2 linked regions of the Arabidopsis thaliana genome follow. The protein of the gene in region 1 interacts with the protein of each later gene in a pairwise test. Each region holds a gene or a part of one and is shown in the gene's direction. Other genes may lie near its edges.

The links.
Region 2: the proteins of ATHM2 (region 1) and MYB3 interact in a two-hybrid assay, tested with the Arabidopsis thaliana proteins (one large-scale study listed by BioGRID).

The regions. Positions count from the first base shown.
Region 1 is NC_003075.7:1,561,425-1,565,815, reverse strand, and holds ATHM2 (Thioredoxin superfamily protein), read left to right. Parts: upstream 1-1,611; 5' UTR 1,612-1,760; coding exon 1,761-2,004; intron 2,005-2,420; exon of another isoform or gene 2,421-2,579; intron 2,580-2,914; coding exon 2,915-3,231; 3' UTR 3,232-3,613; downstream 3,614-4,391. UniProt on the Arabidopsis thaliana protein: Thiol-disulfide oxidoreductase that may participate in various redox reactions. May activate NADP-malate dehydrogenase.
Region 2 is NC_003070.9:8,003,834-8,007,965, forward strand, and holds MYB3 (myb domain protein 3), read left to right. Parts: upstream 1-2,230; 5' UTR 2,231-2,455; coding exon 2,456-2,588; intron 2,589-2,589; exon of another isoform or gene 2,590-2,665; coding exon 2,666-2,795; exon of another isoform or gene 2,796-2,828; coding exon of another isoform or gene 2,829-2,875; coding exon 2,876-3,386; 3' UTR 3,387-3,627; downstream 3,628-4,132. Other genes in the region: AT1G22630 (SSUH2-like protein), read left to right, coding at 94-140, 247-334.

The DNA.
Region 1 (4,391 bases):
GGCCTAAACCATAAGCCTCTAAACCAAAATTAAGATTGGTTTATAGAATACCAACCTGTACAGACTCTATATGAAATCTATACTAACCAAACTAAGCTTATATACAACAATCTAAGCTATATACATTAATAGACGAAATTTTTAAACAAAACCCAGGATTCGAACATCAAATAACCCATCCCCAACGCAACAAATATTATCAACCAACTTTTCATTTCATCAATGACACTGTGAATCATATAAAAGAGATATGATGTCGGTGTTGAAGATAACTTCTTTATTGTAAGATTATTTTGATCGAATAAGCTGCCTCAAATCTTCTAATTTCGACAACTCTTTATCTGTGAGGACACTATGAACACGTTTGTAAAAATCCATCACTTGGTCTCTAGCTACCACCATTTTCTTTCTTCGCATAGGGCTGGGGAATAATGAGTTCTTACAGTGAAAACATAAGTGGTGACCGGACGCATTGAACCTAACATCGTAGAAAACATTGAGGAAATTTTTGTAACATAATAAAAAGAGACATGTGGAAAGAGAAAACAAAAATAAAACAAAATATTGAGAAGAAACCAAGAAAGGAGGAATTTCTTTAGTAGAGAGATCTACCGAGATTATAAAGAAATTGAGGAGTAGAAGAGATGTCAGCGAGCTAAAGTGACATCAGAGGAAAGACTTTGAAGTGGTTCCTCAATACTAGAGGTATATAAGAAAAAGAAAAAGAGGCAGATCCAAAATGTTGGTTTTGAAAGTTTTATAGATTTTTAAGATTTTGTTTTTGTTTTCATTTTTCAAGAGCTAATTGTCATACCATTACCAATCAAGTTTTAAAATGTTGGTTTTCCAAGAAAATACTTTTGCTATAATCTTTTTTTTTGTCATCAGATATTATTTAGGATTCAACGAACCAATTTTGAAGAAAATTGTTAACAAAAGCGAATTTTTCATGCCAAATAGTTTTTTATTCAAAATTTTAGACTTTTAGTTATCTTATAAGCAAGCGTTATAATTTATTTATTTTTTTAAAGAAAATTTTGAGAAAAACAATTGCGAAAAAATGTCAGGAGATCTTCAAATGTTCAAAAATACAAAAAAAAAAAAAAAAAAAAAAAAATTAGTGTGGGGTAAAATAATACGTTTAAATTTTATTGACTTTTCATTTCAATAGTCAACTTTTAGTGACTTCTTATTTCAGTCGCTAACTTTTTGTTGATGTTGCCAAAATAGTCATTAAATTGACCCGAGATCACAAATTGCGGGTAACGGAACTTTGTTAAAATTTCTGTTAAATCCACAAGTGACTGGATTAAAAAAAAAAAGTGCAACTGGCCTAATATGAGCCCAATAAAAAATATCTCAAAAGTTTTATGGGCTTATTACAGATGGGCTTAGTCAGAGCACTATCTTACCCAAACAATTAAAAAAACAATTTACAATATGTTTTCGTTTTCTACTTTTTTCGGTTATTTTGGGCAAATGATATCTACAGCTCAACAAATCAAAAAAATTCAAAAATATTTCAATTTATTATTTCTCGATTTTTTTCACAACTGTATTTTAATTGTATTTTTAGTAGAAATACTTATTTTTCCAAAAATATTTGTTTGTGTTGATGTATATATAAAAAATCTGCATCAGTGTTTTGTCTACATTTTCTCTTCCATTAGTTTCGTTATCTTTTTATTTTCTCTATCTATCTGGATATTATTTTTTCACTTGGGGATTTGGAGAAACCTCTCCTCTCTCTATCTATAGCCATGGCTGCTTTCACTTGTACCTCTCGTCCTCCGATTTCTCTCCGCTCCGAGACCAGAATCGTATCCTCATCACCATCGGCTTCTTCTCTCTCTTCTCGGCGGATGTTCGCCGTCTTACCGGAATCATCAGGTTTGAGAATCCGTCTTTCTCTCTCTCCGGCTTCGTTGACCTCGATTCATCAACCTAGGGTTTCTCGATTACGAAGAGCCGTCGTCTGTGAAGCTCAGGAAACTACTACCGATAGTATGTTTTCTCACTATTCCTTTTTCGATTTTGGTTATTAACTTGTCTTTGATTCGTGCTCGTTGGTGGATTTTGAGAACTGATTATTGATTTGTGCGAGGGAAATTAGAAGCAAGGTGCTTGAATTTGTGTTGTTGTTCTTGTTGTAGCATTTAGTAATCTGCTAAAAACTTGAGATTAGTTACAGATTAGTGAATCTGGAGGAGGAAGAAGAGTTTCTTTAGGAGAGTATACCTTTTGAGAAAATTCTTGCTGAAAATGAGGTTTCTGTTAGAGGAACGATTCATGCCATTTGCGTGAAATTTGAAGAAGGTTGCTTTTTAGGATCACTTCTTTTTTGGGGATATTTTACTTGATTAATGCAAAGTCTCTCTAACAAACCTAGAAATTAGGTTGGGTACCTACTCAGATATTTTATTGGTTGGATCATACACATTGTGACAAGAAACAGTTATTTGGCTCATGAGAGAAGAATGTTGCTTTTTGTGCTTTAGAGTAAACATATCTTGATTCTCTATACCAGCAGATAACGATTTTGGTTATCACTAGCATTGATATTCTACGATTTTAGATAGGTAAGTCCTTTTCCGTGATAATGTGTTTGGTGAGATTAGCAGTATTATCTGCTACAATGTTAACTCAGTCATTGGTCTCTCCTCTCTGGTGAAAACATAAAGCTTTATCCTTCACTGGATCTATCAAATTTCTATTTTGAAAAACTTTCACTTCTAGATCATTTTTAGGAAATATCATATAGACTTGCTACAACATACTGATCTAGCTGAAGATGGATAAACGGGTCAGCTGTCTCTTTGTTTTATTCGTCCACCTTGGCTGATATATTTTGTTTTCATTCATGATTCTAAAAGCTTTGGCAATAAGGTGTTGATTTGTGTTATTGATCCTGCAGTTCAAGTGGTCAATGACTCGACATGGGACTCTCTAGTTCTTAAAGCAACTGGGCCTGTAGTTGTCGACTTTTGGGCACCATGGTGTGGACCTTGCAAGATGATTGATCCGCTTGTAAACGATCTAGCACAGCATTACACTGGGAAGATCAAGTTCTACAAATTAAACACTGATGAATCTCCTAATACTCCCGGCCAGTACGGAGTTAGAAGCATCCCAACGATCATGATCTTTGTCGGTGGCGAGAAGAAGGATACAATCATAGGTGCAGTGCCCAAAACCACACTCACATCTAGCCTCGACAAGTTCTTGCCATGAAATATCACTTGTGGAGTCTGTAAGATCTCGTATCTCTCTGTCTCTCGTTCTTGTTCTCATTATCTCTGTAACTCATTATCACTGAACATCTAGACCTGGATAAATAATATGATGTCATGTCTTATGTCATTTTTACTGGTTTGAAGATGTTTTGAGATGCGGAACTAAAGGTATCAAAGAACAATCTTGGACTAGACTAATGGAACCACATTAAAATGATTCCACCAATCTTTTTTTGGTCATGAGAGAGATCTTAAGATTGTTTGGTTCTGCAAGTTTTTTGATGAACACACGCTAAGGTTTGTTACTTATTCTAAAACTCCTCGTATTAAAAGATATTATGCGACACTCTAATGAATGAGCACATGTATGCAAAAGGGGCTAAAGGTTCATACATGTCCTAATCTAAAGAAAGAATATACGTATTCAGCTGAAAAAGGTCTTTATCGACCACGAGCAAAAGAGAATAAATACGTTCGAAATATCTCCTTATTTTTGCATAAGCAAAGAAATTCATCCACCATAGTTTATGTGTACCCAATTTGTGGATAAGGATATGTCAATTAGGACAAAATGAATAATAGCCGAAAGAATTGAGTTATTTTTGGACTGATCCCACAGTTCCCGACAAGCTTTTGAGGTTTTAGAGTTGTTGATCCGGTCTATGACTAAAGTTCGACCAAAACCAAGTTATTTAGTTTGGACAATATAAATCAGAAATATCAAGAAGATAAATTATATGATTAGTTCATAAAGTTTTAGTTTTAGATTGCCAAGAAAATATTCTAATATATTAGGTCTGAACGAAAGTGTTAAATCTGATGAAACCTCTCTATTGGTAATGTCTTTTTTTTTTTTTTTTGGTTGCCGTCCTTGGTTTGAGAATTATATATTTAGGCTGAAGATAAGGTCAAAAGAAAGATGCAATCCGGTTTTATAATAATAGATCAGTTGGACTTTTATAAATGCATTTTCGTGACTTTTGTTTGTATCAAACAACTTTCATTATAATATTATGATTTGGACTTTGTAAATGGTCTTCTCGTGTCCTTTTGATTGTATCAACTTTCGCGACCTAAGAAGTCACGACGACGTACATAAATGGAACATGAGCATAATGATCAAAATTAGAACAAGTGTGAAATATCGAAACAAAGGCA
Region 2 (4,132 bases), on another chromosome or scaffold:
TGATCAATCTTTTCCAGACCATACCTATTCATTTTACTCTTTCTTACTCTATATTTATGCATATACTAGACAAAATTCTCTTGTTGTCTACAGGGAACAGGTAAAAATAAGAAGAACGGAAATATGTTTGAGAGGTGGAAGTAAGTAATAACTAACAATGTCACATGGTTCTCAAATATCAATCTAAAAATTTACAGTTCAATGAGTACTTAAGGAGAGTTAATTTGGGATTTTGAATATGTGCAGATGTTTTGATTGTCAAGGATTTGGTATGAAGAGTTGTCCTAAATGTGGCAAGGGAGGCTTGACGCCTGAACAGAGAGGGGAACGATAGACTTATACTATTTGTTTTTCCTACATAAGTTAATTTTGTGATACAAACATGTCTCTATTCCTATAACATTTCAGTCGTATAATTTGCATGTAAAAATAAAAATCATTAATAAATTATATTTTCGCTAGAATATTACAAAGCGTTTAGAAATGAGAAAGTGATATTAACAAAGTAAAAAAAAAAATGATATATTGTTAAGAACACATAAAATAGTCACACTTTCTGCTTACAAAACGGAAATGTAACTTTTAGTTGGCTTTTAACACGAAATATTAAGTTTTAGTTGCGCTTCGGACGTTATGTTTTTTTGAATCGTGTTTTCGCCATGTTCTTTTGTGCATAGGGAACCTTCGATTCCAATTCCATATCGATCAGTGTACCTCCGAAGAACCTTTCTTTGAACGTCGTAGTTCATGTTAGCCAATAGTCAGGAAGACTCAGAAGGTAGAAGTGTTGTACAACAATGTTTGGCATTTGGCGTAGCGTGATGAAATTAGAAGCTTGTTTGCGGTTAGCCATGTTGGGCTTTGCAAGTAATGGCCCATGACCAATACAATGCTATGAACAAAAGGCCCATCCGCTCATGACTCTTCTTATGTTTCTTTCTTAATTAAGCATAGATTACTAGCTTATGACAAAACATTGAAGATTGAACAGTAGTTAAATTACGTTGAATAGTAGTTAGATTGTACGGGGTTTTCTATATAAGAAAAAATGTTTACGATTGAGAAAGAAAAACAGAACTATAATAAACTTATGAAATTAAGCTTTAGATAGAATTACATCACTGTTGTAAAATTCAACTCCTCTTTAAATATTGAAAAGAATTCTGATAACTTCTGCAAAAGTGCAAAGGACTAAAATACGTATGGGGCGTGTGAGACAAAAACATTTAACATTTATACGATTCTATGCGACTAATTTATCTAATCGCCTGTTATAGCGACGTTATTCCAATTTCCAAGAAAAATCATCCCAATGTTGATTGATACCATTTAAGTACCTTACAAGTTACTAGTAAATTCATTTTAAAAATGTATTCTTTAATTGGACCGTCGTTACAATGTGAAATCCGAAAATAAAATATAAAAAAAAACTTAAGAGACACAACAGTAGAAGAAGGACCAAGTACACATGCCCAAACCCAATAATTCAGTTATCCAACTAATCTAAATAATATTCATGTTTTTATAATTGAAGAGACAAAGGAGAGAGGAATGTGATAAAATCATAAGAAAGGACACGTGGAGGTACGTGAAGGAAGTAGCGTGTGGAGAGAGTGATTGGAGAAGAGAGAGATGAAAAAAGACAGCTACCTACTCATCTTCCCAATCTATCTACCTACTTTCTCCCAGATCTACTTTTTTTTTGTTCTTTTTAACATTTTCCCAAAATTAGGTTTAAGTACTTTTTTTTGTTAATAATGCAGTAAACAATTGTTTAATTCAATAATGCAAAAAAAATTGGTTTAATTTTCCGCTAAACAAATTTATTGATATTAAAACGAGTTTACAAAATCGTTACAGAAACTAAGAAGTAAATTTGATGATGTTAAAAACACTTTATTCACTAACTGATTAGTGATTACTTAAACCGTTATTTAGTTATTTTCTCTTTTATAATCGATCTTTTTATACGAAAGTTACGCGTGACTATATTTTTTTATATGCAATAAGAATGGTTAAAAACAGTACATGTTGCAATGAATTGTGGAATTTGTAAAATGATTATGATATTTTTTTTGAGCAGATGAGATGATTCTAAAGAGCCAAAAAGTCAATAACCAAAACCGTACGATCTACATCTCAGAAAACAAAAAACAAAAAAAGTTAGGAAACTCCACCCACGTTCCTCCTGTGAGTGTACTACAATCAAATTTGTGTTTTCTGGTTGGTGTTACAATATTCTTTAGGCACAAAAAAACGAACACATCATTTCATTTGTTAGATACATTTTTATTTTTAACTTTGGTATTAAAATAATGTTAGGTAGTTATTATAAATAACATTCAAAACGAAAACACCATCCTACAGGAACTCTCTTCCTTGCAAAAAAAATAAAACACTATTTCCTCCAAATACACGTAGAGAGATACATATATACATATAGAGATCAACAAAGATGGGAAGATCACCATGCTGCGAGAAAGCTCACATGAACAAAGGAGCTTGGACTAAAGAAGAAGATCAGCTTCTTGTTGATTACATCCGTAAACACGGTGAAGGTTGCTGGCGATCTCTCCCTCGCGCCGCTGGTACTTATTCATACATCCTCTGTTTCTTTATATTTACAGAGAGGTAAAGATTTGATTTTTGATTGAACTTTGTGCAGGATTACAAAGATGTGGTAAGAGTTGTAGATTGAGATGGATGAATTATCTAAGACCAGATCTCAAAAGAGGCAATTTTACTGAAGAAGAAGATGAACTCATCATCAAGCTCCATAGCTTGCTCGGTAACAAGTTAGTCTCTTTCTCTCACACTTTTTTAAGAATATGATTATATTTGTGAAAGATTCTGAAACTTTGTGTTGTTGTTATAGATGGTCTTTAATAGCTGGGAGATTACCAGGAAGAACAGATAACGAGATCAAGAACTATTGGAACACTCATATCAAGAGGAAGCTTCTCAGCCGTGGGATTGATCCAAACTCTCACCGTCTGATCAACGAATCCGTCGTGTCTCCGTCGTCTCTTCAAAACGATGTCGTTGAGACTATACATCTTGATTTCTCTGGACCGGTTAAACCGGAACCGGTGCGTGAAGAGATTGGTATGGTTAATAATTGTGAGAGTAGTGGAACGACGTCGGAGAAGGATTATGGGAACGAGGAAGATTGGGTGTTGAATTTGGAACTCTCTGTTGGACCGAGTTATCGGTACGAGTCGACTCGGAAAGTGAGTGTTGTTGACTCGGCTGAGTCGACTCGACGGTGGGGTTCCGAGTTGTTTGGAGCTCATGAGAGTGATGCGGTGTGTTTGTGTTGTCGGATTGGGTTGTTTCGTAATGAGTCGTGTCGGAATTGTCGGGTTTCTGATGTTAGAACTCATTAGAGAGTCAATCGAGAATTCTTTAGGAATCTTTTTATATATTTAGATCGTCAATTGTGTTTTTTTTTTGTTCACATTTGTTATGTAACATCAAGTAAGAAACTAGCATAATTATTTGATGGCAAAGCCAAAAGATTGTGCTCAAAGAAATTTATAAAAACAACAATTAGGGCATGTTGTACTTGCAGATGCTAAAAAACGGTAATTTTTATAAATGTTATAATTTCATAATCTAGCAAACTAATTAATTTAATACTACATTTTATTTGTGATTAATCTTGTTATATGATATACGTCATATGTTTTAAGAGTTTTTTTTGGTTTCAAATTTCTATGTAGAATTAATGTTTTCATTTTTTAATTTACGTATGTCAATTAAATTCAGTGAAATGTAAATTTTAATGAAATTACCAAATTCAAGCGATGAAATCATGAAATCACATTTTTTTGCGTCACAAATAGTTTCTGAAAATATGTAATAATTCCAAGCCATGTAACTTAAAAATGTGGAGACAATATATAATTCGATGTCAAATTTCACCTATTTGAAGTGTTCCTATTAATTAGATTATACTATTGAATGAGTCATTTCAAGCAGATAATACGCAGAGCAACTTTGATGCAGACGTTAAAACCATACCTAAATGATGTTTGGTTTGGTGTCGTCACTTTTTGTATGTGCTTTTTAGTTCTTGCCTATTTTTTTGGCTATTCGCATGTCTTCTCTTCATTTTTTTTTGATTTTAACA